Linked DNA regions of Tamandua tetradactyla. The protein of the gene in region 1 interacts with the protein of each later gene in a biochemical or structural test. Links are inferred from orthologs where the notes say so. Each region holds a gene or a part of one and is shown on either strand. Other genes may lie near its edges. The genes, in order: DAB2 and FCHO2.

Region 1 (15,345 bases):
AGAGCAGTGCAGTTTTATAATATTCTGAGGAGGGGGGGAAATGGTACATATGTGTGCATATGCATAGAGAATTTCTGGAAGAAAATAAATACACAGATGACTCAGAAAGGTGGATGACTATACAAAAGGGTATAGCTATTTTGGACATGAAGAAAAACCTAAAAATTAGTTAATGAGAAAAGACTGGGACTCAAGTGAAGCAGGCATGATTAAGTACTTTATATGGTCTTGATCCCTTCTAACATAAACATTTAGAGAACAAATAGTGTGCTGAATAAACCAGTTGTACAAATCTCAACATTTAGCATTCAATTAATTTTAACGATGTTTCTCTCCCCCACTCAAGAGATTTCCTTTGGCTCAAAATAGCATGAAGTTAAAACCCAATCTTGCTCAAATGATATTTTTATTTCATGGAGTCTCAGAGTTGGAATGCTCTTTAGAAGGCTTTTAGTGTATGCTGCAACATTTTGACAGTGTCTTCAATAAGTCCCAGGTTCTATTTGAGCACCTCAAGGACTGAGAACTCGGTTGCTCCTTGTAGCAGTTCTTTCTGCAACAAGATTGTTCTCTTGCTTAGAAAACAGATATTGAGCCAAACTCAATATTGAGCCAAACTCAATATCTGCCTAAAACTTTCACCAATTTGTCTGGAGTTAGACATCTGAACCTGGCAGAATCATACAAATACACACATACATATACACACACACACGCACATCTACATACACACTTATATTACAACCATTCATATGAAATATTTAGGGATATCTTCTATATTTTATCTGAGTGACAATTATAGCCCAATTTCTTCTTAGAGGTGAATAACAAAACTTGAAAGTACTGGAATAACTACCAAACAACAGAAAAGTAGCAAGGCCAGCAGAATCCAAATTGGAAGCACTGAATGACATAAGCATTAATCAGCAATCTAAATAATAACAAGTGGCCACATTCTTGTTGCCACTGATTCTTGCAAATACATTTATCACTAGAAAATGTGCATCATATATTTTGATTAACATTTTTTTTTTTTTGGTGGTAGGTGGGGTACATGTTCCGGGAGTCAAACCTGGGTCTCCTGCTTGGAAGGCGATCATTCTACCACTGAACCTTCCATGCACCCTGATTAACACTTTTATTTTTAAAGAATACCCAATATAAAAGTAAGTTCTGGTGCAAAGGTGGCTCAGTGGCAGAATTCTCGCTTGCCATGCTGGAGACCCAGGTTCGATTCCCAGAGCCTGCCCATGCAAAAAAGAAAAAAAAAAATGTTTATTCCCAACTTTGCAAGTGAAATCATTGCCCTCCCCGCTACATGGGATATGACATCCAGGGATGAAAGTCTCCCTGGTGACATGGGAAATGACTCCCAGGGATGAATCTGGCCCTGGCACTCTGGGATCAACAATTCCATCCTCACCAAAAGGAGCAAAAGAAGTGTAACTAATAAAGTATCAGTGGCAGAGAGAGTTCAAATACAGTTGGGAGGCTACTCTGGAGGTTGCTCTGACACAAATTTCAGTTAGACTTTGCTATCTATCATAACTTGCCAAACCCCAGCCACGAACATTCCAGCCAATCCTAAAGAACATGTAGGGTAATATATTAGATTCTACAAGGGTTCCACGCGCTAGAGTAACTTCCCAGAAACCTACAACCTCCAGGTGGGTCCCTGATTCACATAAGTCCTGAAACCTAGAAGGCCCAGCCTCTCCAGAACATCAGATAGCTCCATTTCCCTATCCTTTATTAGTGACAGACCCTTCCAATATGGAAAAGTTAGGATGGCTATAGCCCAAGTACCCCTAAAGAGAAGGATGGAAAGATCAAAGGTGATGATGGAGTTATACAGTGAAGATAGGATTTAACAAATGAATTTAAATGCTGAATCATTAAATTGATATCTCTTTTAATCTATAGGATCTTAGAACAGCTAGAAGTAAAAGCCTAAAATTATGGAAATGTAACCTCTGTCAAACTCTGAAATATGTTCTACAACTAATTGTGGTGCTGTGCTTGAAATTTATTGCTTTTTTGTATATGTTATTTTTCACACACACAAAAAAGGAAAAAAGTCAATTGTGATGATAAAAAATATTTAAGCCTTTGTATTCTGGGGCAGCTGGAAGGAAAAATCTGAGAGGATCATACAGTAGCCTATGACTAATTCTGGGATCTGTCCTGTAACTACTTGTTGAAGAGTGCTTTGAAAACTATTGCTTTTTAAATTTCTTTGCTTTGTATATATGTTATACCATACAATAAAGAAGTTAAAAAAAAAAGTTCTACAACTTTTTTTGAAGACTCAAGTTTTACTTACAGGATATTCCTAAAGACTTATCGTCTCCTTTGGAAAAAGTTAACAAATAAGAAAGTTATTTCACATATATATAAGGAAGAACTGAAAGCCTTGAAAAATAGTGACACTGTTTTGGTTTGCTATAGGTGCTGAAATGCAATATACCAGAAATGGGTTGGCTTTTAACAATAGGGATTTATTAAGTTGCAAGTTACAACTCTAAGGCCATCAACAGGAGATACCTTCAAGAAAGGCTGATGACATCATGGGTTTCTTTTGTCACATGTGGAGTCATCTGCTGGTCCTTTGCTTCCAGGTTCTGTTGGTTTTAGTTTCTGTATGTCCTTGCTTGCTTCTCTGAGGACACCTCTCTGACCGCTCTAAGTCCTGCAGGTCTTCTTCCAGCATCTCTGGGGCGTTTCTCTCTTGCTCTCTGCATCCTTCACTTGGTTTCATCTCTCTGCTCTGCCTTTCTTTGGGTTTTCTGTCACTATTCTCTTCATAAAGGACTCCAGTCCAAGGATTAAGCAGCACCTTGAATTGGGTGGGTCACATCTTCATAGAAACCACCTAATGAAAAGGTCCCTCCCACAATGAGTCTGCCCCACAAGACTGGATTAAAAGAACATAGTCTTTTCTGGGGTACATAACAGATTCAAACCAGCACAGACATTTTGTGGGAATTTTGCCCAACAAGTCTTTTAGGAAACTTGAATGCTTTAGGTAGCTTGAACAAAAGCATGGATTCTATGTGTGAAAGGGTTCTATAAAGTGGTGACAAATTGTTCTGTTCACAGTTACTCTATGAGATTTTGTCACACAGTATGAGAGACATTAATAAATATGTGTCAGCCTGTCATTCTTTCACAAAACACTCCCTTAACCCAAATAAACAGGCTTCTGGAGGCTACAATGGCCGCCTTTGTCTAAGAAATACTCGCTGAATTGTAGATCCACACTGTTTTCTCAGAACACCAATCACACAAAACTCCTTATACCTGGGAAAATACAACAATGATGCTCTTTGGAAATATGAAACATCTCTGGAACTCTCAGAAGCACTACAGGAAAGTGCAATCATGAATCATTTGGGCTTTGAACAGCTGTCAGATTAAAACTACTCTATTATAAAAAATGAAGATCTAATAAGACAAATTGAACTCCATATCAAAGTTATTTTGCCATCCAGTTGTGCAGTGAGGTGACACAGAGAAGTGAGGGTCTAAATTTATTATTTCTTTCAGACATTGTAAAAGATAATGTTTCTTTGTTAGTGCTATAATTTGAAGAAACTTTCTCATGATAATTAAGACCTGGAAAAAATTACTCCACAGGTAAACAAGAAAAAGTCACCACTGAAAATAAAAAGATTCTATCCTGACAATAATATCTACTACTTGCTTGTGATGAAAAATAGCAGCTAAACGGATGCACAGGTGGTTCAGTCGTAGAATGCTCACTTTTCATGCAGGAGACCCAGTTTCAATTCCTGGACCATGTACCCCACTGCCCTAATAATAATAATAATAATTATGTACTCTGTGAGTACATTAATGGAATATTTCTCCAGGTAAACAACACCTCAGTCATTGGCTTCTTTGGTATATTTCCACGGGAATTTCTAACCATGAAGCAGTTGATTCAATTCCTGGGGAAAGCAGTTCAATGCCAAGACCACTTCACTGAGCTTTAGAAAGAGGCATTAATTATTCTTTAGCCCTTTCTAGAACCCATGTTTAAATAAAAAAAAAAAATTGACTGTTGGTTAATTCTCTTTCTCTTTAATGATAATTTTTGTAGAATTGCTCATGGCTATTCATCTGGAAATAAATCCACAGGAAATGTAAAAAAATTTTAAACTTAATAAAATAGTGGGAGGATGAGGGAGAGAACACAATCAGGAAATCTATTAACTTCTATTCTGAGTTGAGACTCCGGATCATCTGTGTGTCCCATTTAGTTCAGGGCAAAAAATACTATTTATCTGGAGATATAGAATGTTAAGTCATGAATTGCTTAAACAAATACTTTTTAGTGTAATCAAGTCTCCGATATTATTGTAATCTGTCTTCTTTAGCTTTAACTAGCTGTGCAATGGCAGAGGTTTTTTGTTTGTTTGTTTGTTTTTCCTCTTGGCCAAAATAGTCTGCTGTTCTTCTAAAAAAGAAACACTTTCTGAATATTGTCCTCATTTGATTGTATCCAGCCGGAGTTGGTTTGGGCCTGGGTTTTGCAAAATCAGGGGTTTTACCCAACAATGGCTAATTTGAGTTTTGGTTTTGGCGTCATGGTCTGTAAGAACATGGAAGGTTTTCACTTTCCAAGTTTTCTTAACTGACTGGTGACACATCCTGAAACTAGAATCCCTGTTTTTCTTTTCAATAATTTTTTCCCTGCTGGCAGAGTGTCTTGTGAAACTTTGTTAAATCATGCTATTTCAACCCTTCAATAATAAGCTAAACTAAACTTTTGCCTTTATAACTTTGTCATAAACTCGTATCAGGTGAGGAGCTTTATCAACCTGTCTTTTTAGTAACTTGGAAAAGAAATCAACTTCCTACTCTGCTCCCCATTCTTTTTCTACAGCTCTCTTCCCTCCTTTCTCTTGCCGACAATAAACCCACCACCTAAAATCTTCCCAGGGCATCTCAAAATCTTCATGGTTTGGTTCTTGTCCTGCATGCTATAACTCCAACTCAGGACTCCAATTCCATTAAATTTTTTTCATATATTTGGTATATATGCCATACATATTCTTAACTTACATGTATAATAATCCATTGATTCTAAGACTCCCTTGGTTGTAAGATGCATCATTATTTTATCTACCACTAGAAAAGAATGAAAACACCACTAATTAAAATTTATAGCTTGCCATCAGATGTATAACATATTCCAACAATAGAAATGTTAAAACATGGAAAATAAGACAAATCTTAGAATTGATGAAACGTGGTGACTTAAAGCAAACAGGAAATACCTTCAGATTACAAGGCATGACAAAGGCATTAAAAGAACAATCAACTTCCACCCATTTTGATTTACTAGTTACTCATTATCTTGCCTATCTTTTCCTTCAATTGATTACCTTGTTACAAAAAAAAACCCAAAAACTGATGCCTACTAAACACAGGTCCTTCGGTAGGTACTGGGGGCACATAATAAACAAGAAGCAGTCTTTGTTCTCAAAGAACAAAGGAACAAAATCACTCATGTTAGGAATGGATACAAAAAGCAACTAGGAGATTATAATCGCAATATCAGACAGAAGTACTGAATTCTGTGGGAGTAAAGTAAAAGGTGACCTAACCCAGTCTTGCAAAGTTTAAAGAGAACTGCCCAGAAAGCCACTGCCTAAGACAAAATCTCTAAGATGAATAACAAGAGTTATCCATCCACTGGGACAAAGTGATTGAAAAAAAGAGGGGCGGATACTCCAGTTAAAGAAAACAGTAAACAGCAAAAGAAATACCAGTGTTGTGTTTTGGAAAATGCAAAGGGATCCCTAACACTACAGGACACGAAGTGAGCTCACTCATGGTCGCACAAACCAAGCAGAGAAGCTCAAAACTGATTCTGAGGAAATTGTTGAACTCAGTGAAGGCCTTAAGCATAATGTGACAAGATCACTTTGACAATTTATTTTCATTTGTTTTATCTTTGCTTCATTAGAATCAAATTCATCATGACAGTTAAAAATTCAAATTGTAGGAAAAAAAACTTATGAAAAACATTAATTTTCTCCTCCCACTGCAAGCCCATTCCTGATTCTGATAAGAAACCAAAATTCTTTCAGCTGCTTCTTGTTGCAATTACCTTCATATTATTTTTTTTTAACTATACTGCTGTTGTTCAATTTATCATTTTAGATATAACCCAATGGTCATATTGGGTCTTTGGTTCTGGAAGATTTTGCTCTCTTTTATCACCACCCCCACTTCTCCTTCCTTTCAATATTGTTAAATATTATTTTTGGCTATAAAATAGAGTTCTTTAGTGTGTTCTAAATGCTCCAGCAGACACATTGTCTTCCTACTGTTTCCCCCTCCTTTGGCCAGTTATCAAATCAGATATAGTTTGCTATACTTTCCCATAATTTTTTCTTGGAGGTCTCCCTCCAAGACCCTTTCATTCCTATTCTCAAGTGTGTGTCAGTTGGGCTCCAGTCTTGACAAACAGTTATCAACCTGGGTATTTTCCTTTTTACTTTCTTGAGTTTAAAACACTTTCCTGGATCATGGGTTACTCCCCTTTTTGCTGGAGCACATCTTCTGATAGTTTTCTAAGAAAAGGTAAAAAGATAAATTTTCTGAAAATTTCCTTATTCTATTTTCACCATGATTAGTAGTTTGGCTGGGTATAAAACTCTAGGCTGAAATAATTTTCTTTCATAATTTTGAGAGTTTTTCCCCTTGTCTTCTAACATCTAACATTACTGCTGAGAAGTATGATTTCATTCTGAAACTCATTCACTCAATGTAATGTCTCTCTCTCTCTCTGGAATCATTTTGATTTTCTCCTTCTTGGCTTCTGAAGTTACCTTATGATATATTTTGACATAGGTCTTTTTTTATTTTGCTGAAGACTCAGTTTTGTCCTTTTTATTTGGAGATTCCTATCCTTCAGTTTTGGTAACTTTTCTTTAGTGCGTTAAAATTGTCTTCTCCTAGTATCTCTTTAGTCAAGTGTTATACTCCCTAGTTTAATTGTCTGTGATTCTTATCTTATCATTCAAATCTTATGGCTCCATCTCAGGGAACACCTCTAGAATTTATCTTCCAACTCTACTTCTCATTTTTATAGAGGGAGGGGTGGTGCTATCCCATTTTTATTTTCTTAGAGCCCTTTATTGCTTCTTATTCTTTTGCAAAATAGCAATCTGTTATTTTTTATGGAATAAATAGCTTTTCAAACCTCCCAAGAATATCAAGAAGTAGACACATTTAGTATTTGTATGATTCCTGCATTATCTCTAAATTCTTCTCTTTCCTTGTTTTCACTTTGTTTATTTTGGTCTCTCTCTTCTACAGTGAAGGTTCTCTTTATCTTTCTGGTGAGCCAAGTTCATTCATTCATGTTTAAGAGTAGGGCATTTAAATCCTAGTGGAAGCTCAGTACACATGGACTGGGTTAGATGATTTCTCTCCAGGGAGATCTTGTAAGAAGCAGTTCCCCAACTGCCAATGTTTAGACATTTTGGTGATTATGTTTTTTCAGACAAGTAACCTTCTGATCTCTTGCCTTGGGGACAGCTACTGGGCTCTCTGCTATATGCATTAGAAGGGAAAGTGGACTAGGAAGATCAAACTACTATAGTATAAGCAGACTCTTATTAGTTCCCTTGAGTTTAGCCCTGAGTCTTACCTTCACATTCCACCATACCTGAATTGCCAGCCATTCTCATTCAGTTTCTCAAAGTAATAAATAAAGCCCTGATCTTCTATGGTGATGATGGGGAAGGGGCATTAGTGTTCTCTTCAGGGTATGCATCAGAGAGTTGGAATCACCTGGTTGTTGATATTCCATTCACTGGGGGGGAGGGGAATGTCAATGTATTTGATCTTTCCACTTACTCTAGGCCCATGCCTCACTGCCTCCACCCATCACCTCAGCTAAGTCTTTCCAGGGTTTTGCATTGTGAACTGCTTCTAGTGTGGTTACTACCCTCCCTCCATACACATAAATTCTGGATTCTTCTGCCCTTATAAATTAGTATCGGCACCTTTGTCACTTTCCACCCATTGAATGATTTGTACTTGCCTGCTAAAGTCCCAATCTTATATTCTTTTTGCCCTTCTGGTTTATAGTCTTTTATTCCTTTAAGTAACTGCTTCATGAAGCTTGGGCAAGAGGATAAACATGTGATTTCAATCTGCTTTCTTTAACTGAATACCATATATTTACAATTTAGATCTGCAATGTTTTAGTGCAAATAATCCCATTGGCTCATATATGAAACAAACATTTTCTGAACTATAAATTAATAAACATGATATGAACAGTATGAAAGCCATTAAGACAAAATATTTGAAGTCAAGACTATCTTGAAAAATCTGGAATGTAGGGCCAGAGTTCTTATCTAATGTCTCCTCTCTGCTCTCTTCTATGCTTACGTTGCTGATGGCTTTAAATAAAGCCACAAGACAAAATGGAACAGTAACATGTAAGAAAAACTCTAACCTGTGTAACTCTCACCCTTCAATTCCAAATTTCTCACTCTGTCCCTCCTCCCCCACAAAAAATCTTACCAATATTTCAAGGGATTTGTACATAAAATTTCAGACTTGGACAGACTTTTTTTCAAGATAAGGACCAACTCTTGGCTGAGAAAGACTCATTCTTTCATCTTTTTGTATTGTCATTGCACAATTCAACCAACAACTAAGTTTTAAAACCTTCACTTTATGGGAGGCACAGCTGGTCAAATCCAGTGCTCACTATATTTTTGTTCATTTGTTTGAATTCTTTCTTTTTGCTTGTAATTTACTCAATAAATGCACTCTAAATGGGGCAAAATCTTGTCAAAAGTTCCTCAAACACCAAAAATTTAGAAATATATAGAGACGTGTTCTCCTCTAGAAGGGAAGAGATTTTATTTAAAATAATTTGATAAGACCTTTGGTGTGGCTGATGATAATCTGTAGGCCTGATAAGACCTTGGGTGAAAGTGATAAAGAAATGTCAGCATGTATCTGCTCGAGGACCCACAAGAATTCAGGAGCTGCAGAAGACAAGAGAAAGCAAACGAGAGATTTCAAAATCATTTTACCTATGAAAAACATAGGAATTTCAGGAGGGGAAGAGTAAATTCAACACAGAGCAGAACATGACGTTTAATAATAAAAAGTCTAATATTCAAATATTTATGGACTAATATTATTCATATATATGGCAAAAAAATTTCATTTCCCATTCATTTCCACAAACCTTCAGAAAAGACTGCCACCCTCCCAAAGGTCTTGGTTTAGGAAGGTTTCCTATGGAGAATAAGGAGAACTGATTAAGGAAGATTGCTGATTTCTGTGCCTGCATTGATAGTGTAAAGCAGAGTCGGCAGGCAGGATGAACCTTGAACTGAAACAGTTCAGCAGAAACAAGAACTCCAAACCAGCAGTGGAGGGAACATGTAAATCATCTCCACTGGAGAATCCTCTGAGAGAAAGGAAAGGACTCAAGGTTCAGAGTACGGAGCTAACATCTGCGTTAGTTTTATAATAATGTCTCTGAGGCTTAAACAAATGGCAAAAACCCCTGTAACTGTCTAAAAGAGACTGAATCTCGTACTGTATCTGCGTTTGATGAGTAAAGAGAAAAGGCATTTAACCTAAGAAGGACACAATAGAAGACCGCAGAAAATTCCCTTTGCCGAAAGCATTCTGGGGTAAGTTAAACAACCTCTGTGCGCAGGAAGAGGTGGTATTAAAGAAGGAATTTAAGTACTGCATTGGGGGCTGAACAAGAAGACGCTGTGGTTCTTTAAAATCTGAGAGTCTATAATTCCAGGAGTTATGCAGACTCTGACCATTTCAATTTAGCCCAACTGGAATGGAAGTTAAAGTGATTTTAAGTATAATGCCTCAAGGCTCTCGGTGGAGTTCAGCTCACCACGTGGTAGTACTGATTCTTATTCAGGACAGTGACCGGGCAATGGAGGTCTTGCGAAAACGATTCCAGTATTTCCTGTTGGATATACTCGTTCTCTAAAGACACTGAAAGGAGAACTGAACAGACTTAAAAGTGGAAAAGCTTCCAAAATCGAGGGTAGGGACTGGGGGGGAATATTGGACCAGGCTGGAAGAGGCTGTCTCTTACAGAGGTCTCCTAGTTGAGACTGGGTTTTTGGTTCTGTGAAAGAGCTTTGCATGCTAAATTATTTTTGTGTTTGAGATGCTTTCTCGAAAAAAGACTTGCATTTGAATTCACGATGCAGTCTTTTTTTAGGGATAAATCAGTAAAAAATGTCCACACTAACCTGTCATTTTCCTCTTCTATTTTGAAGCTCTCTGTATGGCAGTTAACTTCTACCCAAAAACAAAAAATGTGTTTGGAAAATTCCTGGTTAGGCCACTTGCTTGCTTTGTGAATGACATGTGTGGTTAGCTATAACATATATATAGCAATGCTTTCTTCTTATTGCTGCCTTCTTCATGCATGTTTTTCTTATTTGAACATTTTTATGGAAGTGATTAAATATTTGGTTTCAAGCTAGTGTAGAAATTGTGGAGATATAGAAATACTCTCTAACTGAAATCCAACTTACATACACCTACACAGTCATACAAACACACACATGCATTCACATTCCTAAGATATGCATGATCAGATAGTTTTTATTTGATTTCAGTGTCCTTTCTCCCCCCCCCCCCCCACCCCCCCTTTCTCTTCTCCCACTCTCTTCTCTCTCTTTTTCTTTCTGGGAGTGTAGAGAGAAGAAAATGAAGTAAAAGTGATTTCTATTTCATTTTAGGCTTGCTTTCTAATAAAGGCAACATTGTTCAGATGCTCAGTTCTCCAGCTCTTACCCAGAGTTAAATGTTGTAGAAATGTTACTTCAAGCCTTATTCAGAATGACTGAAATATTTTTGCAGGGTGTCACCTTGCAAAGCATCATTAATGTTTACAGTTTCAATAGCAAGTTATATTGCTATAGTAACTCCTAAAGGGATATCCTTTCCCCACCCCACCCCACCCAAAAAAGCATGAACTGAAGAGAAAGCAAACCTTGGTATTTAGGCCAAAAATTCCTCAATACTGATTAGCATTTAGTAAATTTTCAAAACGTATCCTCAAGGACTGGAATGTTTCCTATTCTATTAAATCAGTTTTATGCAGTGTTGTATGATAAAAACTAACAATCTTAAGAGAAGCCCTATGTTTTTATTAGAAATTTCAGTTTCTGTTGACACTGAGGGAAAAGGGTTATAAAAAGGTAAAACTGGGACTCTTGCCAGAATAAACTTTTTGTGAATAATTCTACAGCAATTAGAAACCTAAAAGATGTCTATTTAATATTCCATATCTACCCATGGACTTAATAAGAAGGGAAAAAATATGTTTCATTTATTGCTCCATTGCTATATAATTCAGTCCTTGGGTCTGCAAAGTATTTATAATGTTAAAGCTGAAAGAGATTATATATTTGGAAATATTTCTTAAAAATCTACACATCATTATTATAAGAAGGATTGATTTATTAAAACAGTTCAGAAAATTTCTTTAACTATCCATGTTAATTTATCTAAGAAATATGAGTGGATCATCAAATATTATTACTATCCTGTGGATACATTGTATACTCAATGGAAATACCAACATCTTTCCATGCTTTGTCTTCCGTCTGTAATTTGGAGTAGGGTTAAGACATGACCCTTGCTAAGTTAGCAAGTTGAGGCTCCCCTAAAAAGAAAATGATCTCTAATTAAGAGCTATATAAAATTATTTGCAAGTTAAAAATGTTTAGAATTTACATAGATCAATTGAAAGCAAAAAACTGATGTGTTTAATTTTCCTTTTCACAGCAACAATAAGTTATTTCAACAACAAAAGTATTGGTTTGAATCTTAGTGCCTTCACCACCAATTTATGTGCAGTCCAATAAGCCCCCTGACTTCTTTGAAACCCAATTTTATCATTTTTAAAATAGGGGTAATTATGCTTGTCTAACTTGCAAATGGCTATGATGCACGGATTAGAACATATGTGATAGTTTATTTAAACAAAGTTGCTGAGCATCGTCTTCAATAAGATCAAAATTATTTCCAAGCTCTAACTCATTGCTGCTTTTGCCATCTGGAGAAGATGCTACCAATGCTAGCAACAGGAGGATAAGGAGAAGTTAAACCCCCCTCCCAATATGGGCTGTACCTTCACAATGTAGAATTGCTTTTTTGTAGTCACGTCCTAAATACCAAGGACTGAGGTCTCCGTCAACAACACACCCTCAAAAGAAAATCTACTTGAATCTTTGTAGATTGGCTTCCTGGTTTTATGAAGCCAGGAGAAAGAAAAACAAGCCGGAACATCTCATCAGACAAGCACATGACAGCACTGTAGGCCTCCTTCTGGGGCTCAGAAACCAGGTAGACTTTGTACCTGTTTGTCCACCTAGACACCGAGTGTGAAGCAGACAGGAAAGATGAGGTCATTTCACAAATCATCAGACTTCAGCTTGTCATCAGAAACCCAAAGAAGAGAGTACTTGGGGAGCTTAGGGGTATCAAAGAGGGGCCCTGGCCTGGGCATTCTGATAAGACCTAATGTTGCATGGAGAGTGGTTAACATTACCCAATGGATCCTTGATTGCTGGAGGAGCTCCTCCGTCACACACAGATGTCTGGTCCCACGTCTGGCAGGGAACTGGGTACACAAAAGCAGACACTTTCTAAGAGGTATAATGATAGCCCAAGTCTGAATCCAGAGCTTCTAAATCCTGAAATGATATTGTTTTTGCTACTTAAAATTAAAAAACAAAAAAGGTCCATGTGGGAAACATTCTGAAGTAAGTCACGGAAATTTTAGAATGGGAGCTACCATCTGTTTATTTCCAGCACCCAACCCAGTAAATGGCACATGGGAAATGTTGAATGAATGAATGAATGAACTCCACGAAATGCCTAATGGTAGTAGCGATTGTCCTTTTTTTTTAAGTCTAGAAATTTTCAAACATAACATTAATAGAGAGAATAGTATATTGAACACACATATACCCATTTTTGGCTTCAACAATCTTTTTTTGTCTATTCTCCCTCAATTTTGGAGATAGGTTATTTTAAAGAAAGCTCCAGATATCATATAATTTTATCCATATTTATTTCACTATGTAACATAAAGATAAATAAAGACAATGCAAAGATATTTGACAAAATTAATTCCTTAATATCTTCTAAAATCTCTGTATCAGAAATGTCTTTTTTTAACATTTTTTTATTCAACATAACAATATAAAAACACATTCTTACCATATGATCATTCCATTCTTGATATATAATCAATAATTCACAATAACATCACAGTTGTATATTCATCATCATGATCATTTCTTAGAAAATTGCATCAGTTCAGAAAAAAAATTCATACGTACCATACCCCTTACCCCTCCCATTCATTGATCACTAGCATTTCAATCTCCTAAATTTATTTTAACATTTGTTCCCCCTATTATTTATTTATTTTTAATCCATATGTTTTACTTATTTATCCATAAGGTAGTTAAAAGGAGCATCAGACACAAGGTTTTCACAATCACACTGTCACGTTGTGAAAGCTATATACAATCGTCTTCAAGAAACATGGGTACTGGAACACAGCTCTACATTTTCAGGCAGTTCCCTCCAGCCTCTCTGTTATGCTTTAACTAAAAAGGTGATATCTATTTAATGCTTAAGCATAACCTCCAGGATAACATCTCGACTCTGTTTGGAATCTCTCAGCCATTGACACTTTATTTTGTCTCATTTCTCTCTTCCCCCTTTTGGTTGAAAAGATTTTCTCAATCCCTTGTGCTGAGTCCCAGCTCATTCTAGGATTTCTGTCCCATGTTGCCAGGAAGGTCCACACCCCTGGGAATCACATCCCACGTAAAGAGGGGAAGGGCAATGAGTTTGCTTGTTGTGTTGACTGAGAGAAAGAGGCCACATCTGAGCAACAAGAGAGGTTCTCTCGGGGGTGACTCTTAGGCCTAATTTTAAGTAAGCTTAGCCTATCCTTTGCGGGGTTAAGTTTCATATGAACACAACCCAAGATTGGGGCTCAGCCTATTGCTTTGGTGGTCCCCAGTTTTATTTAATGGGCCTATATTGGTGCAATAATCAACTAGGTGCAGCTACTTTCTCAAACTGGAACAACAGGAATAGTAGAAGATGGTGAACATATTAAGCTCATAAATCCTTCTAAGAAGAGGAATGTCACTCATGTGGATAAACATTTCTAGTTTGGAAGAGTAGGTGAGCAGGGGAAGCTAAATCATGCTAATTTGGGACTGCGCTAATATGCTGATAGAGTCAATGAAAAATACTGATGATGAGAACCTTAGCAATCATCTAGTTGTAGCATTTTTAGGCTTATTGAGGGTAGAGCCCTGTAAGACATGCAGGTCTTATCAGAGCATCATGAAATAATATCTTTAATTTCATCCTACGCTTCAGGAATAGTTTAATTGGACAAACATAAAAACTCTATTATATTTGCAGGGCTGCATTGCATCATAATTGGGAGGACAGTAAAAACAGGCTAGAATTTGACATTCAAAAAATATTTATTGTTTATGAAATGTTATTGATGTGTCTGGAGAAACAACAGTCATTAAAACAGGCAAAATCTCAGCTATCATGGAGCTTAAATTCCAATTTAGGGGTGGGGAAAGAGATGATACAATAATAAGTGAAATGTGTCAGATATTAAAGTATATCATTTGGTGATATAAGTGCTGTGGAGAAAATGTAAATCTGAGTAAAAGGATAGAGTAGTGGGGCAGTATTCTACACAAGATGGCCAAAACACTCCCCATGAGAAGGTGACATTTGAGCAAATATTTAAGGTAGTTAAGGGAACTAGCCAGTCCAGACAAAGGGAATAGCAAGTGCAAAGGTCTGAGGTAGGAATAGCAAGAAGGCCAGAGTGGCTGGAGTGAAGCAAGTGAGGGGGAGAACAGAAAGAGCAGGCATCAGATAGGTCATGGAGGGGAGGGCAGATCAAGAGTCTTAGAGCCATTTGTAAGGACTTTGGTTTTGATGCTGATGGATACGGGAGTTTTTAGGGTTCCAAGCAGAGGTGTGATATTATGTGGCATGTTTCATGAGGACCACTGGCTTATATGTCGACATTAATCAGTGGGATGGAGAAGATGAAAGCAGCTAGTGGTTAATGTAATAATCTATGTGAGAGATGGTGATGGCTTGTAGCAGAGACTATCAGATAATAAGAATAAGAATAAAATATAAAAATGTTCTGTTTTTTTTTCCCATGAATACTTATCTGCAATATATTTAAGTGTTTTTTATTACCTGATAGAATTCATTGCCAGATAAGGGAGGCAAGCACAAAGG
Region 2 (16,192 bases), on another chromosome or scaffold:
TTCACACCATCCATAACACTTTTTCTATGCTTCAGTTGTAGCATAAAGTTAACAGTAATTTGCCACTTATTAGTTGTGTGACCATGGGAAACTTATTTAACCTCCTGGAGCATATTTTCTTACTTGTAAAATTAGGATAATAATAATATTGGCCTCATCCATGATGTGAGGATGCAATGAGATAATATATAAATGTTGCTATAATATGCAGAACTAAAGTTACAGATACAGTAATAGTTCTTGTTTTTCCAATAAATTGATCCAGACTCTATTAGACTTATTAGATGGAAATCTAGAGATATCCTCTTAAATCTCCACTTTTATTCTGGATCCCATACCTTTCCTTTTTTCAAGGACTACATTTCCACAATTATCTCCCTTCTCCCCCCTCTTTGGCTCTTCCCCTATGGCACCCAAGCATGCTCTATTACTGCTCATTTAACAGTCCATCCTTTTACCCCTTGTCAGCCTTCAATACCTGACTATTTCATTGCTTCATTTCTGACAAATGTTTCAAATGAGTTGCCTCTAGTAGCAGTCTCCACTTCTGCTTCTTTCTTCAACCCGCTCCAATCAGGTTCATATCTCCATCATCTCAAAGAATCAACCCTTGGCAAGGCCACCTCTATCCTGCGAACTCCAATGGTCAACACTTAGTAGTTGTCATCCATTGGCCACTTCCATGTTATCTTTCTTTCTTGGCAATTCCTCTAACTTACTGTTACTCATTGTCTCCTTTGCTGGCTCATTCTTTTCTCCTGATCTCAAAATGCTGGAGTGTCCAGGGCTTTCTCCTCTGCTCAACAGCCTCTGTTTCTCTCAATCTTCTCTCTCCCTATGAGAGTTCATTAAGTCTTATCGGTATATACTGATGATCTTCAAATTTATGTCTTCAGCCCAACCTCTGTCCTGAGCTCCAGAGTCATATATTCAATTGCCTGTCAGACATTTCCATTTGGATTTCCAATATACATCTCAAACTTATGTTCAAAACAGAGTCATTGAGGTCTCCTCCTTTTCTCCAAACCAGCTCCTTTCCATGTCTTTTCACTCTCTGGGAAACCATTACGCAGTCAGTTTCTCAGGCCCAGATTTTAGGATCATTCTTGACTCCTTTCTTTCCTTCACACCCCACTTGCAACCCATCAGTAAGCTCTGACCACTTTACCTTTGAAGTAGATCTTGAACCCAGTCACTTTTTACCATTTCCACTCTTCTCATCTAATCCCTGCCACCGTCTTCCCCCGTCAGGAAAATTACATCAGCCTTTTAACTGGCCTCCCAGTTGTTGTCTCCCTACAATCCCTTTTCACAAAGTAGTCAACGTGATCTTTTAAAAACATAAATCAGATCATATCACTTTGTTGACCTAAAACCCTCCATTGGCTTCCTATAGCACTTAAGCTACACCAGTCTATCTACACTTCTACCCTTCTCTTGACTCTGATTTCATCTCCATCTTCCAACTTCCATTCCAGCTCCATTTCCAACTCCATTCTCAACTCCAGCTTCCATTTGGTAACTGCTTTCCAGCTGTACTGGCCTTCTTTCCATTTACTTGAAAAAATCAAGCTCATTGCTACCTCTAGGCCTTTGCTTTCATTGATCTTTCAACATTATTTCCAGACCTTTGCAAGGCTATTTCCTTTGGCTCCTTCAGGTGTCTGCTCATTGTCTGTTCCTCACTTCTGATGAAGTAACATTTTAACTACTGTAGATAAGAAAGGCCCTCTTCTCACCACACTGTACCCTAATTCCACTTCATAACATATATCAGAGTATTTGAAAGGATCTCATTTATTCGTGTGCTTATGGTCTGTCTTCCTGCACCAAGTGGAGTAGTGAAGTGATTGGTCTCATTCACTATTGTATCCCCAGGGTTTAGAACAGGGACTACCTCAATACATGTATTCAATAAGTATTTGTTAAGTAAGTAAACAAGCAAGGGGCCCTCCTTCTCCACGAATGTCCAAGAATCTCAGGAACTATGCTTTTTACTCGTACATGTTACTGCTGAAATCTGGTGTTACATGATGTGCAGAAGTTCAGCACCTGGTAATAACCCCTTGTGTCTCAGGTCCATGCCCAGGCTGCACTGGACTTTGGAGGAGACCTAGCCCACACTCCCCATTCTAAGCTCAACAAAGGGTGCCTCTTGCTTGGGCTCCTGTGATCACAGTCGCTAGTGCTCTGGTCTTTCCGGTGTTCACTATCATCTTCCTCAGGGGCAGCCCCAGAAGCACTGATTTTCGCACGTTGCTGGGGATTCCACTGCCCCATAGACCCGAAAACCATTGTGCTAATTGAATCCAGGCAGTTTCTTGTCACTTTCTTTGTGGGGGGAAAAAAAAGAAAATGAAAAAGCACAAATTGAATTTCTTTGGTGTTATCTTTCTGGAACAAACCTTGATTCATTAATTTACCCATTTAACAAAAGTGTATTGGGCACCAACTATATGCCAGGTCATCTTCTAGGCACACTATTGTTATAATTGTCATCTCGTCATGAATCTGTATTAGATTGCGAATTTCTTAAGAGCAGAGATAGTCTTTTCACTGTAATAGGTGCCCAATATCTAGTGCCTGAGGAAGTGAAAGAGAGAGGAGTTAATGGAAGATGTTAAGAAACATTAAGCCCAGTTACATTTATACTAAAATCAAAACAACCATTACTCTTTACATAATAAATTTTTACATTAAAGTAAATTTTAAATTTTACATTAAAATAAATGTTAAATATAATAACAAATAATTCCCTTTGTTTTCTAGGCTATGCAAAGCAGATACCATGAAATGCATTGGCTTAAACAATGGGAATTAATTAGCCCTACAAGCTTACAGTTTTGAGACTGAGAAAAATGTCCAAATCAAGGTATCATCTAGGCGATGCTTTCTTCCCCAAAACTGGCTGCAGCAATCCTGGACGCCTCTGACACGTGGCAAGGCACATGGCCATGTCTGCTGGTCCCTCCCTCCTCGACAGGGTTTCTTGCTTCTGTGACATTCTTTCTCTTATAAAGGACACCAGTAAGAGGATTGAGACCTACTCGGAATGAGCTGGGCCCCATCTTAAGGTAAGATCCCACTCACCAAAAGATCCTACCCACAACGGGTCCACATCCACAGGAATGGACTAACTTTAAGAACATACTATTTGGGGGTACATACAGTTCCAAACCATCACATCACCCTGATATATATACATTTATTCATTCTTCCATGTTTTCTTTTGATTATTGTTCATTTGCATACATGTTTTGAATATTTGTATTTTTAATGTATTTTCCATTTCGTCTTCTGCCTTTCCTCTTTAACATTAATGAGAAGCATCTTTGCATTCTATGTTCCCATCATCACCTGTGTAGTTTTCAGTAATTAAGCAATTTCTCCTTTTTTATTTTTGAAACTCCTATTGGTTTCCCTGTGGTCACCAGCAGTGAAAATCCCTGAAGAACTTCTCAGGTGTTTTTGTGCTTCATCCAAAGACAAAGGTATATGTAAAATACAAATATTATGAAATTTATTTTAGGAATTGGCTTACACGACGGTGGGGAGGGGCAAGTCCTAATTCCACAGCACAGGCTGCATCCTGGGAACTCCAATGAAGGTTTTCAATTAATTCCCAGGAGAAGCTGGCTGTCTGAAATAGAGATGGAAATTATTCCCTCCACCCCTGAAATCATCAGTTCTCCCTTTAAGGCCTTCAACTTGGGTGAGACTTCTCTCACTGTTGAAGGCAAACTCCTTAGTTGATTGTAGATGTAATCAGCCCTAGATGCAATCAATTTACTGATGATTTAAACCCACAACCTACCCTCACAGTAACCATCAAGCCAATGCTTGCTTGACCAAACAACTGGATATCATAACCTTGCTTAGTTGGCACGTGAACTAACTAACACAGACAAGAAGGCAAGGGAGCCCCTGGAAAGTATGTCTCATTCTGAAGGAAGAGATGCTGCTGCAGCAGGGAATAGGCAGTCTATTCCAGGTGCATTGGGGAGTGAAGAAAGGTGCACCTGGCAAGCTACCCTGAGCTGAAGGTGTGCGTGGAGAGTGATGTTTGAATATTGCAATTTGATTAATGTGTTTCCCCTTCCTGGCCCTGGCATACTGGCCTGCTTGGTACCATCTGCTAAGCTTTTGCTTTTCTTTCTGTTTTGCATAAAACTTTTCCTTTCAATATGGTGCTGTTAAGTGGGGGAAAGGAGAACATCAGACATCAGGGATCTGCCTGTTTTTCTTCTCCCTTTTAATAGAGCTCAGCTCTTTTGTCATTTGTTAGTGTCAAGTACAAGATGAGTGCAGAGAAGGGTTACTTCACCTGGCACAGGACACTCCTCCTTGAAGGTATTAGCTGGAAATAGGAGAGGTTTTTAGGAGCATCTCTGCTTGGAAACAAGCGAAGGAATATTTGTAAAATTATAAGGAAAATAATTGAAAAAATGTGTCTTACTTTATAGCCAACTCTTCTGGAGTAGAACTGGTTTCAAATGAAGTAATGAGGAAATGGTGCTTGTGACTAAATGCTGACTAATATGCTCTAGGCTGAGAACCCAGAACTGGAAATGGGAGATCAGACTTGAGGGGAAGTTCTCTGGGCGCCTTGCCTAAGGAAGTGGGCCTTCAAATCTTGGAGACAACCCACATTTTGGAAACCAGAGAATCTAGGTTTATGTTATTTCCCCTCTCTTGTTTGCTACTGCTTATTGAGTTATGTTTATACAGCCCAGGTGTGTTTTGGACTATAAGGTACATGCTTGGGCCAGTTTACTGGGGAGCAACAGCATTTCCTGGAAACACTGTTGACAGGTGTAATTAGAGAGACATCCTAAGAGGAAGATGAATCTAGGGAAGAGGACAGAGGCTGGCTGACACCACTTATATTCTTCCTGTACTACATCATCTCCTCTGAATTTAGTCACCGTAAACACTATTTACTATAAAGTCCCACAACTTAAAAACACTAGGCAATTACAGCTTATGGTGTTTTGGCCCTATGAACATTACAAATACCTGAAATACATAGAATATTTATCTTCACGGCTGGCCTACCCCTGATATTTATGGGATCAGAGAAGGGACTATATGTGGGGGTCAGTGCACTACATGCAACTATTGTGACACTACTAGGAAACAATGGTTGTTATGCAAAAATCATTCAAGCTGAGAGGAAATATTTGACAAGACAACTAATTTATTTCTGTCTTATCTCAGCACTTCTGCTCAAATTCTGCCTGAACTTCAAACCAGTCTATTTCTGATATCAGCAACCACACCACAAGGTTTAACAACATTTGAGGTCCATCTTTCGTTTTGAGGACATAAGGCAAGAGATGTGAAAAAGCATTTCCTCGCGTGTGAAGATATTGATCATGGGAAAAGATATTTAGGGTTAAGAGGTTATGTCAGTGTTCAGCAGCAGATCATGAGTGACATAGGCACCCAGGTGTTTTTAATAAATTAACATGTGTGTATTTGTGATATGTAGGGTCCTTTATAGCATGGAGCCCAGGATAGGGACCCCACTTGCCTGGTCTAAGGGTGGTAATGCTTAGTGAATACTACAAATTTAATGCAAAGCTCATTTGCAGGGTGGTCTAGACGGATGTGTCATTTTAGAATTTCTTCAGCATTAAGAGATAGCACTAGATCGACAGCTTGGAGAACACTGTAGCATGTACCTAGGTTTAACTTTCCCAAATATTAGAAGTAACATATAATATTATGAAGACTTTTTAAATAAAGAAAATAGCATTTTCCAACTTCAACACACTTAAAAAAATCTATTTATTGTGGAAAATTTCAAACATATACAAAAAATAGAATAGTAGAATGGACCACTACATTTCCAGTACCTATCTCCAACAACTATTAATTCATGGCCAATTTTGTTTCATTTATACCACTACTCATCCCTAAATGAATTATTTCAAAGCAAAACATAAATGCCGTATGGTTACATCCTATATGTATCTAAAAGATACTCTATCACAATTATTCCCAATTTTCAACACTTTTCAGTTTGATCTATGTGAAAGGTACCATGTGATTTTTGCTTTTGAGGATGTATCTCACCATGAAAAGAAGTGTTACTTTACAGCGCTCACAGTGTTTGAAGTCACAAGATCTGAGTAGATTTGGTGTGCAGGAATAGCTAAAACTACACCGAGTCCACGTGTGGGGCTTCAAGAACTGCTAGCTCTATCTAGCTTTTGATAGAACTATCAAAGTTCTTTAACAAATGATCAGGTTACAGGGAATTTGAGACCTCATATTTTTACATATATATTTACTGTTGTAAAGCAATGTGTGGGAAGTGAACTTAGTTTCTCTATCAGGTCAAGGCATGTTAAAACTTGCTTCTTTTTCCAAAATGTACAAGTTGCTGAAAAACCATCGCCTTACATAAGCAAGACCTGGAAGAGATTTTTTTTTTAACTGTTCGGGTCACGGAGAGAGGTTGGTTCAGTTCCGTGCCCACTGCCAGCCGTGCTGGCGGTCAGCCTCCGTGTCCGCTGCTGGCGGTGCTGGCGGTCAGCCTCCGCGTTCGCTGCCGGCCGTGCTGGCGGTCAGTCTCCGTGTCTGCTGTCGGCCGTGCTGGCGGTCAGTCTCCGTACCCGCTGTCGGCGGTGCTGGCGGTCAGTCTCCGCGCCCGCTGCCGGCGGTGCTGGCGGTCAGTCTCCGCGTCCGCTGTCGGCGGTGCTGGCGGTCAGTCCCCGCGTCCGCTGCCGGCCGTGCTGGCGGTCAGTCTCCGCGTCCGCTGTCGGCGGTGCTGGCGGTCAGTCTCCGCGTCCGCTGCCGGCCGTGCTGGCGGTCAGTCTCCGTGTCTGCTGTCGGCGGTGCTGGCGGTCAGTCTCCGCGCCCGCTGTCGGCCGTGCTGGCAGTCAGTCTCTTTGTCCGCTGTCGGCGGTGCTGGCGGTCAGCCTTCGCGTCCGCTGCCAGCCGTGCTGGCGGTCAGTTCCGCGCCTGCTGTCGGCGGTGCTGGCGGTCAGTCTCCGCGTCCGCTGCCGGCCGTGCTGGCGGTCAGTCTCCGTGTCTGCTGTCGGCGGTGCTGGCGGTCAGTCTCCGCGCCCGCTGTCGGCCGTGCTGGCAGTCAGTCTCTTTGTCCGCTGTCGGCGGTGCTGGCGGTCAGCCTTCGCGTCCGCTGCCAGCCGTGCTGGCGGTCAGTTCCGCGCCTGCTGTCGGCGGTGCTGGCGGTCAGTCTCCGCGTCCGCTGCCGGCCGTACTGGCGGTCAGTCTCCGCGTCCACTATCGGTGGTGCTGGCAGTCTCCGCGCCCACTGCCGGCTGTGCTGGCAGTCAGTCTCCGCGTCCGCTGCCAGCCGTGCTGGCGGTCATTTCCGCGCCTGCTGTCGGCGGTGCTGGCGGTCAGTCTCCGCGTCCGCTGCTGGCCGTGCTGGCGGTCAGCCTCTGCGTCCTCTGCCGGCCGTGCTGGTGGTCAGTCTCCGCGTCCGCTGCCAGCCGTGCTGGCGGTCAGTCTCTTTGTCCGCTGTCGGCGGTGCTGGCGGTCAGCCTCCGCGTTCGCTGTCGGCGGTGCTGGCGGTCAGCCTCCGCGTCCGCTGTCGGCCGTGCTGGTGGTCAGTCTCTTTGTCCGCTGTCGGCGGTGCTGGCGGTCAGCCTCCGCGTTCGCTGTCGGCGGTGCTGGTGGTCAGCCTCCGTGTCTGCTGTTGGCCGTGCTGGTGGTCAGCCTCCGTGTCCGCTGTCGGCCGTGCTGGCGGTCAGCCTCCGTGTCCGCTGTTGGCGGTGCTGGTGGTCAGCCTCCGCGTCCGCTGTCGGCCGTGGGGGCGGTCAGCCTCCGCGTCCTCTGCTGGCCGTGCTGGTGGTCAGCCTCCGCGTCCGCTGTCGGCGGTGCTGGCGGTCAGCCTCCGTGTCCGCTGTTGGCGGTGCTGGTGGTCAGCCTCCGCGTCCGCTGTCGGCCGTGGGGACGGTCAGCCTCCGCGTCCTCTGCTGGCCGTGCTGGTGGTCAGCCTCCGCGTCCGCTGTCGGCCGTGCTGGCGGTCAGTCTCCGCGTCCGCTGTCGGCGGTGCTGGCGGTCAGTCTCCGCGTCCGCTGCCGGCCGTGCTGGCGGTCAGTCTCCGCGTCCGCTGTCGGCCGTGCTGGCGGTCAGCCTCCGTGTCCGCTGTCGGCCGTGCTGGTGGTCAGTCTCTTTGTCTGCTGTCGGCGGTGCTGGCGGTCAGCCTCCGCGTCCTCTGCTGGCCGTGCTGGCGGTCAGCCTCCGCGTCCTCTGCTGGCCGTGCTGGCGGTCAGCCTCCGCGTCCGCTGTCGGCCGTGCTGGCGGTCAGTCTCCGCGCCGGGTCACAGGCCGCGCCGGGACTCTCCGGTGACCCCAGGCTCCGTCCCTCCCGGCTCGCTGGCCTGGGCCCCTCCGGGCCGGCCTCCCGCAGCAAAGGTTTCTCCCACCACCGCGCCAGGGGCCCAGCTCCCTCCTCCGAGAGTGACCGTTCGGGGTCCTCGAAGGCCGGGGTTGGCCCTGTCAGGAGGCAGACCTGCCGCCGGCCGACCCCATCTTCGCAAGGCACTGTCCGCAGTGACCCTCCGGAACCCGGCTCCACCTCTCCAAGAGGAACCGCCGCCAGCCGCACCCGGCAGACCCGAGGCCGGCAGCAGCAGCCCCGAAGCCAGAGCCCGCGGCGCATGCGCACAGCGCAGCCACGGCGCCGAAGCCTTCGCCTCCAGATGGCGCATGCGCCCTGGTGGGTGGGGGGCCGGTCTCAGAGGGCGTCGACAGCCGCTAGGTGGCGCATGCGCCCTGGTGGGTGGGGGGGCCGGTCTCGGGACGGCGACGGCGGCGGGCGGGGGCGCCGCGGGGCCCGGCCGGTGTTTACACAGCGACGGGCGGGCGGGACGTGGAAGCCGGCGCCGCGGCAGCACAATGGTCATGGCGCATTTCCTCGAGAATTTTTGGGTAAGAGAAGACTGTTGGAAACCGACTGTTGGAAAGTGTGGGTTTTGGGGCCTGGCCTCGGCCTGCGTGCGCTGAGGGCGGCGGCGGCGGCGGCGGCGGCGGCTCCTCAGGCTCCGCGGGCGTCCTCGGACGGCGCCTGCCGGGTCCCGCCTGCCGCTGGCCGCCGGGACCTGGACGCGCGGGCTCGCCGCTCGGCCGGCGGCGGGGGTGTCAGCGCGGCCTTCGGCCCGCGACGGGGCCGCGGGGCTTGGACAAAGCGCGGGTGCGGCGGGCGCCGGGCGCCGCCACGGCTCCGGGACTGCTCGCCGGCTCCGGGCCCCGCCGCGGGCTGCCCTCCCCCCGCAGACTCCGGGGATCCCTGCGGCTCCCGGGACTCCCCAGGCCCGTGCTCTGGACCCCCACTGGCTCCGGGCCGGGCGGGGGACTCGCCTCCCTTCGGCGCGCCACCACTTCCCCCGGAACCCCGTGCGAGCTGGGGCTGGGTGAGCCGTTCCCGCGGCCCCCGCTCGGCCGGTCGGTCGGCGCCCGGGCCGCCCTGGGCCTGCCCGCGAAGCGGGTCCAGGCTGAGCTTCGGTGGCCGAACGACGGTCGCGGCGCGGAGCCTCCCGCCTGGCCCCGGCGCGCTCTCGCGTCCTGCGTCCGCGCCCGTCCTCCTCGGACTCCGGCTGGGGAAGGCCGCCCCGCTCCCCTGCGCGGGGCTCTTCCGCGGGTGTTGGTGGTGGTGCGGGCGCTCGGCGGCCGGGCGCCGGGCGCCGGGGAGGAGCGCGCGTCTCCGGTAGCTGGGGCGAATGTCATCTTTCCGCCCGGCAGTTCAGGCTGCAGTTCCCTCTTAGTTGACGCGGAAATGTTTGACGGAGTCATCTTTTCGTGAGGGATTTGTCCTCAGTTCTTAACTCTCAGCCTCTCATGTATTGACTCGTTTGGTAATCGAATCAGTTCAGAGTTGTATGCCACAATGTACCTTGTTTTCCACAAGCAGCATGAATACTAGATACTAGGATTTAAAAAAAGTCTTACTGGGATATTATTTACTTAATGTACGGTAAACCCATGTAAAGTGTTAGTTGATTGACTTTTAGTTTGTTCACAGAGTTGTGTAATTACTATGATCAATTTTCGAGCAATTATATCAACTCAGAAAGAAATCTGTACACATTAGCAGTCACTTGGTGTTCTTTCTCCCCCCAGACCCTGACAACCACTAATGTACCTGCTGCCTCTGAAGATTTGCCTCTGCTGGACATTTCATATAAATGAAATCAAATAAGTGGTCTTTTGTGACTGGCTTTTTTCACTTAGCATAATGGTTTCAAGATTCATCCGTGTTGGAGAATGTATCAGTAATTCATTCCTTTCTACTGCTGTATAGTATTCCATTGTGTGGCTACACCACATTTTGTTTATCCATTCATCCGTTGATGAACATTGGGTTTTTCCACTTTTTGGCTATTATCTATAGTGCTGTGATGAACACTTTTGTAGACGTTTTTGTGTGGACAAATGTTTTCATTTCTGTTGGGAGAGGAATTGCTGGGTCACATGGTAACTCCATGTTTAACATTTTGAAGAACTGCCAAACGGTATTTCCTGTACAATTTTACAATTCCACCAGCAGTGTCTGAGGGTTCCAGTTTCTCCACATGCTCATCAACATTTGTTATTATCTGTCTTTGTGTGTGTGTGTATGTGTGGTTATATATACATAACAAAATTTCTCATTAACCGCTGTATTATATGTATACAATTCAGTAATTTAATTGCGTTCATAATATTGTGCTTACTGTCACCAGCGTCCATTGTCAAAGCTTTTCTTCCTTCAAGTAGAAGTTCTACACCTGTTAAGCAATGTCCTACTCTCTCCCTCTTCCCAGCTTCTTGTCACCTTTAATCTACTTTTTGTTTCTATGAATTTGCTTATTTTAGTTATTTCAAGTAAGTGAAATCATAAAATATTTGTTCTTTTGTGTCTGACTTATTTCAATCAACATAATGTCTACAAGATTCATCCATGTTGTTGCATGTATCAGAACTTCATTCCTTTTTATGGCTAAATAATATTCCATTGTTTGTATATACCACATTTTATTTACTCATCTGTTGCCGGACACTTGGGTTGTTTCCATCTTTTGTCTTTTATGAATAATGCTATGACCATTACTGTACAGATATCTGTTGGAATCCCATTTACAGTGCTTAGGGGTATATATGCCTAGAAGTGAAATTGCTTGGCCATATGGTAATTCTGTGTTTCATTTTTGGAGGAACCATTTAAGTGTTCTCAACAGCAGCTGCACCATTTTCATTTCCCACCAATGATGTGTAAGGGTTACTGTTTCTCAGCATCCTCTCCAACACTTATTTTCTGTTTTTTTCTTTTAATACTAGCCATCTTTGTGGTATTAAGTGGTGTCTCATCGTGGTTTTGATTTGCATTTCCCTAATGGCTAAAGGATGCTGAGCATCTTTTTATGTGCTTATTGGCCTTTGGTGTATATTTGGAGAAATGTTCATTCTCTTTTTATTGTGGCACTGTGGATATGCCAAAAGTTGTTAAAGTATTCTTCTGACTATGGGCAGTTAGATTGTTTTCAATATCTTGCTGTTACATTTGTGATTACATTTGTATATGCATGTGTATATCTTTGGATAAGTGTCTCTTCAGATCCATTGCCCATTTTAAAATGGGTCGTCTTTATTTTACTGAATGATAATAATTCTTTATATTTTGGATACAAGTCCTTTATCATTATAAGTAATTTGCAAGTGCTTTTTCCCATCTGTGGGTTTTTTCTTAATTGATGGTGTCCTTTGAAACACACACATACATTTTAAATTTTGATGAACCCTTGAAGTCCAATTTATTAAATTTTTTCTTTTATCATTTGTTCTTTTGGTGTCGTCTCTAAAAAGTCTTGGAGTTTACCTAACCCATGGTCAAAAAAATTTACTCCTATATTTTCTTCTTTGAGTTTTATACTTATAGCTTTTACATGGCCTTTGATTCACGTGGAGTTCATTTTTGTGTTTGTACTAGCAGTAGAACTTCATTCTTTTGCATGTGGATATCCAGTTGTTCCAGCATCATTGGTTGAAAAGACTGTTCTTTCCACATTGAATTGTCTTGATATCTTCGTCGAAAATCAGTTGAACATAAATGTAAGGGTTTGTATTGGACTATAAATTTTTTGCATGCCAAGATCACACTGTTTTGATTACTGTAGATTGCCAGTAAGTTTTGGAATCAAGAATTGTTAGTCCTCCAACTTTGTTCTTCTTTCTCAAGATTGTTTTGGCTATTCTGGGTCTCTTGCTTTTCCGTATGAGTTTTAGGAACAGTTTCTTAGTTTCGGGTATTAGGTTTTACAGTGGTAATTATGAAAACTTTTTTTATAAAAACCATTTATTCCGATTAAATTGACGTTCTTATATGTTTTATGTAATTTTTTGATTCATAAATTTATTTTGAAGTTTGCTAACTTAATTCCAAATTGCATCTTAACATTACAAAGGTTGTATTTTATTTTCTGTTGAGTGAGCTTTGCACATAGCTTTGTTTGATGTTTTTGGCTATTAGGAATAATACTTCTATGAATATTTTTGTGTAAGCTTTTATGTGTCTCTTTTTTTGCTCCTGTTTTTAGAGAAACTTGGATATCTGTACTCTAGAGAGAATTCTCAAATCTCATTTATGCCTCCGTTTTTACCTTCACTTCCAATAAATATTTTATTTGAACAGATTGAGTACAGATAGTAAAATAGACTTCATTTTATCTTATTTCCTAGCCTGGAATTGGGACTGAAAACTCTAAATTATAGTTTAAAAAGCTTCAAAGGAGGGCTAAATGAGCTAGGAAAGTCTAGGAACTAGTACATAACCAGCTTCTGAGAATGTGATAATTGTCTGTTTAAAACAACTTAAAATTTACAAATTTCAGGATCATTTATAAAGCAATTACTCAAATAGAAAACTTAGAATATTAATTTCACATTTTTCCTAATATTTAAAGTGGCACTACCAATACAAAAATAAAACTTGTTGGAATAAGTTTAGTGGGAACCCTTAAAATTTTAGATTTCTGACCCAAACAGCCTATTAATTACTTTTCCCCATGCACATATAAAGGCGAGTTTTTTTGTTTTGGTGTTTTGTTTGAGGACATTTAAATCACTGAAATTCTCTTCAAGCTCTTTTAAAAACAGCACATGCTGTGTTTTCCTTTAAAGTATATTCTGTTAATTAAAACTTTATGCTGCTACGTATTCCTTTAACTTAATACTATATTCTGAAGTGAAAAGTGTATTAAAAACTTCCTATTCAGCAGGTGTTTTCTTACTGATAAGTCAGTTTTTGCCACACACCTGAAAATGCTTTTCTTTCTATTAAAACTTGACAGCAGAAATAATTTTGATAGCAGAAATCCTTACCATTGCCTTCAGTGTTAAAAACAATTGTTAGCCCTTCAAAATATTATTAACTTAAATAAGGTTATCTACAAGTATTACAGTGAGGTAGTGTCTCTATATGCTGTTTCTTTCTCAGAGTTGAGTAGTAGTTTATAATATCCTTGAGATTGTCTCTGTGAACATTGAACTATAGTAATTAAAATTGTTTTATATTTTTACATAAGCCCAGGTTATTTAGTTCAGGAATAAAAAACTTTTTCAAGGAATGGATTTCATAAATAATAATTATTTACGGGGAAAAGATAAGTGAGCACAGCACACTTGAGTTGAATACATTATAGACCTCATTTTACACAGTAATCCCCATCTGTATAAGCTATGATGCCGTCATCCAAAGGCCCTTGACTATTTTTTTGTGTACATCATGTTGTAATGAACTGAGATTTTTAGTTAGATGATTTTTCCAGAGGTTATCTCTAGTCAGCACATGAAAAATGAACAATCAACAATTATGTTAGGCATTTTTTTCCCCTGAAATTGTGTGCAGAAGTTTCATTCTCTTTGTCTTTCAATTTCACTGGTATTGTCATACTTTAATTTTAATGGAGCAGTTGGTTATATATCCAAACATTGATCTGTTATTATGTGGATAAGGTTGGGAGATTTAAAATGTGTTTTAAAAATCTGAAATTGCTAATAGGACTTGGATTGCAGAACATTAATCCAAACTTAGCATTCTGGATGACAGACTTAAACATATACATGTACACATATACACATACACACATTCTTTGAAGTTGTTTATCCATATGAAAATTAAAAAAAAAAATAGCTTTAGAAAATTCGGTTGTGGTGACCACAGAGACCCAGAATATAGGCTGTCTTTTTGTTACTTGAAATTCCCAAATATTGTAGTTTGGGGTATGGGTATCAGCCTAGTATATGATCTCATCAGATGATATGCTAAAATGTAAAAAAATTATATATATATAAAAAATTAACAGGCTTGCAAATTTCACATGGTTCAAAACTCAAAAAATACAAAAGGAAATACAGTGTAAAATCTTTTTCTTTTTCTCCAGTCATCAAGATCGCTCCAAAGGCAGTCACTTACCAGTTTCTTATATAGCTTTCCAGTGATAACCTATATTTATATAACCAAATGTCCTTCATTAAATTAAAATATATTATTGTATGACTGTTAGCCATGCTCAGATTGTTCTCAACTGTAGCAAGTTATGAAAATGTAAGTTATAGATTTATCCAACTTGGTTCAAGTAGATTTGATAGGTGGACGTTATAAAATAATAGTGTTTTAGCTCTCACTGAGTTTTATTTTGAGACTCTAGGGTTGTTTTTTTTTTTTAGTGGGGAGGGGCTGTATGTTTACCTTAATAGTTGGACAAATTTGGAAATGAAAAATTGATAGTGATTTAGACTGCATAAGTTCAGTTGGAAGAACTTTGGTAGCAATCAGATACACAAAAAGAAATTTAGATGGGTCAGATGTGGGGAGAAACAAAAACAATAGAACAAGAGCAATTGAGACCTATAATGACTACTTATTAGAAGAGGTGCCGGGGAATGTCAGTGGAGTGGCCAGAGTTAGAGAAAGTGATTAGTGAACTGTGTGATGAAGTTCAGGAGCTCTTCTTGCTTCCTTATGGAATTGCAGAAGTAAAAGCCACGGAAAATAGCACAAGCATGTTTGTTTGACTTTAGGGAAAAGATAGGAAGGTACAACATAAGTAAAGCAAATTGGTGATGATGGGGGCAGAAGCCAAGAAATGTAGAGGTTTTAGTTGTTTGAAACTGTTAACAGTCAGTGAAGAACATTGTTATGTTCTAGGTAAACTCTCAAGAATACAAAAGAAAACTAAAATTACCTATAGGTCCTCCTCTTACAAGAGTAAATTGAAGCGTTATTAAGAAAGCTGAAGTTATTGTTAATTTTTTTTTCAATTTGAAAGTAAAAACCATATTACAGAAAATTTGAGAGGTAGAAAAATAAAAACAAAAAATTATTATGCCACCGTTGTTTGCTTCTGCTATTTTATTGAACCCATATAATACCTACTTAGAAGGCTTTAATGATTTAACCTGAGGAAACTGACTGGAAGAGATGAGTTGTTATTAAAAGATTAGAGAGGGCTATCTGAGGGGCAGGAAAATGTAATAAGATTTCGTTCCTTAAGTCAATCACCAGATGTGTTCAGTTGACTTTTGTACTTTCATCAAATAGTGCGGACTGCCAGTGGTGCTCATAACGCACCTTTTATTTTTTTTAATTAATTTTTTTATAACACATCTTTTAATCACGATTTTCTGCTTTAGCAATATCTTGCCAGTGGCTCTGCAATATAGTTTTTTGTTTGCTTGTTTTTTGGCGTGGGCAGGCACTGGTAATCGAACCTGGGTCTCTGGCCTGGCAGGCGAGAACTCTGCCTGCTGAGCCATCGTGGCCGGCCCTCTTCAATATAGTTTTAGTAATCCTATCTGAAAACATCAATGTACAAGTAGAGTATTGAATAGAAGGGGTTGTGACTTGTGGTTTTTTTATTTGTGGAAAAACTACTTGCATATGTTTTAATTTCTTCCTGGTAGTTTTCAAAGCAAAAATGGCACTGAAGGGCTCTCATTATATATTTGTTGAACTCATTAAAAATGCCTCTAGTCAATTCTTCACTAGAGGTGTCGATTCTTCACTAGAGGTGTCAGTTCTTCACTAGAGGTACTATTTTTCAAAGAAAAAAGTAAGCTTTGAATTACTTTAATGTTTTATGGTGTCTTTTTTAAGAAAAAGGAATGGTGAAGTAAGACTATATCAAACACATCTTAATGTTATGTTTTGCACTGACTTGTCCAAAAGTTTGTCTAATAA

Evidence for each region.
Region 2: the proteins of DAB2 (region 1) and FCHO2 form a complex in vitro, tested with the Homo sapiens proteins (2 studies listed by BioGRID). The link is inferred for Tamandua tetradactyla from reciprocal best matches to the Homo sapiens genes DAB2 and FCHO2.

What each region holds. Positions count from the first base shown.
Region 1 is NC_135335.1:89,518,074-89,533,418, reverse strand, and holds the start of DAB2 (disabled homolog 2), read left to right. Parts: upstream 1-9,399; 5' UTR 9,400-9,683; intron 9,684-15,345. UniProt on the Homo sapiens protein: Adapter protein that functions as a clathrin-associated sorting protein (CLASP) required for clathrin-mediated endocytosis of selected cargo proteins.
Region 2 is NC_135347.1:59,620,918-59,637,109, reverse strand, and holds the start of FCHO2 (F-BAR domain only protein 2), read left to right. Parts: upstream 1-8,777; 5' UTR 8,778-8,874; coding exon 8,875-8,907; intron 8,908-16,192. UniProt on the Homo sapiens protein: Functions in an early step of clathrin-mediated endocytosis. Has both a membrane binding/bending activity and the ability to recruit proteins essential to the formation of functional clathrin-coated pits.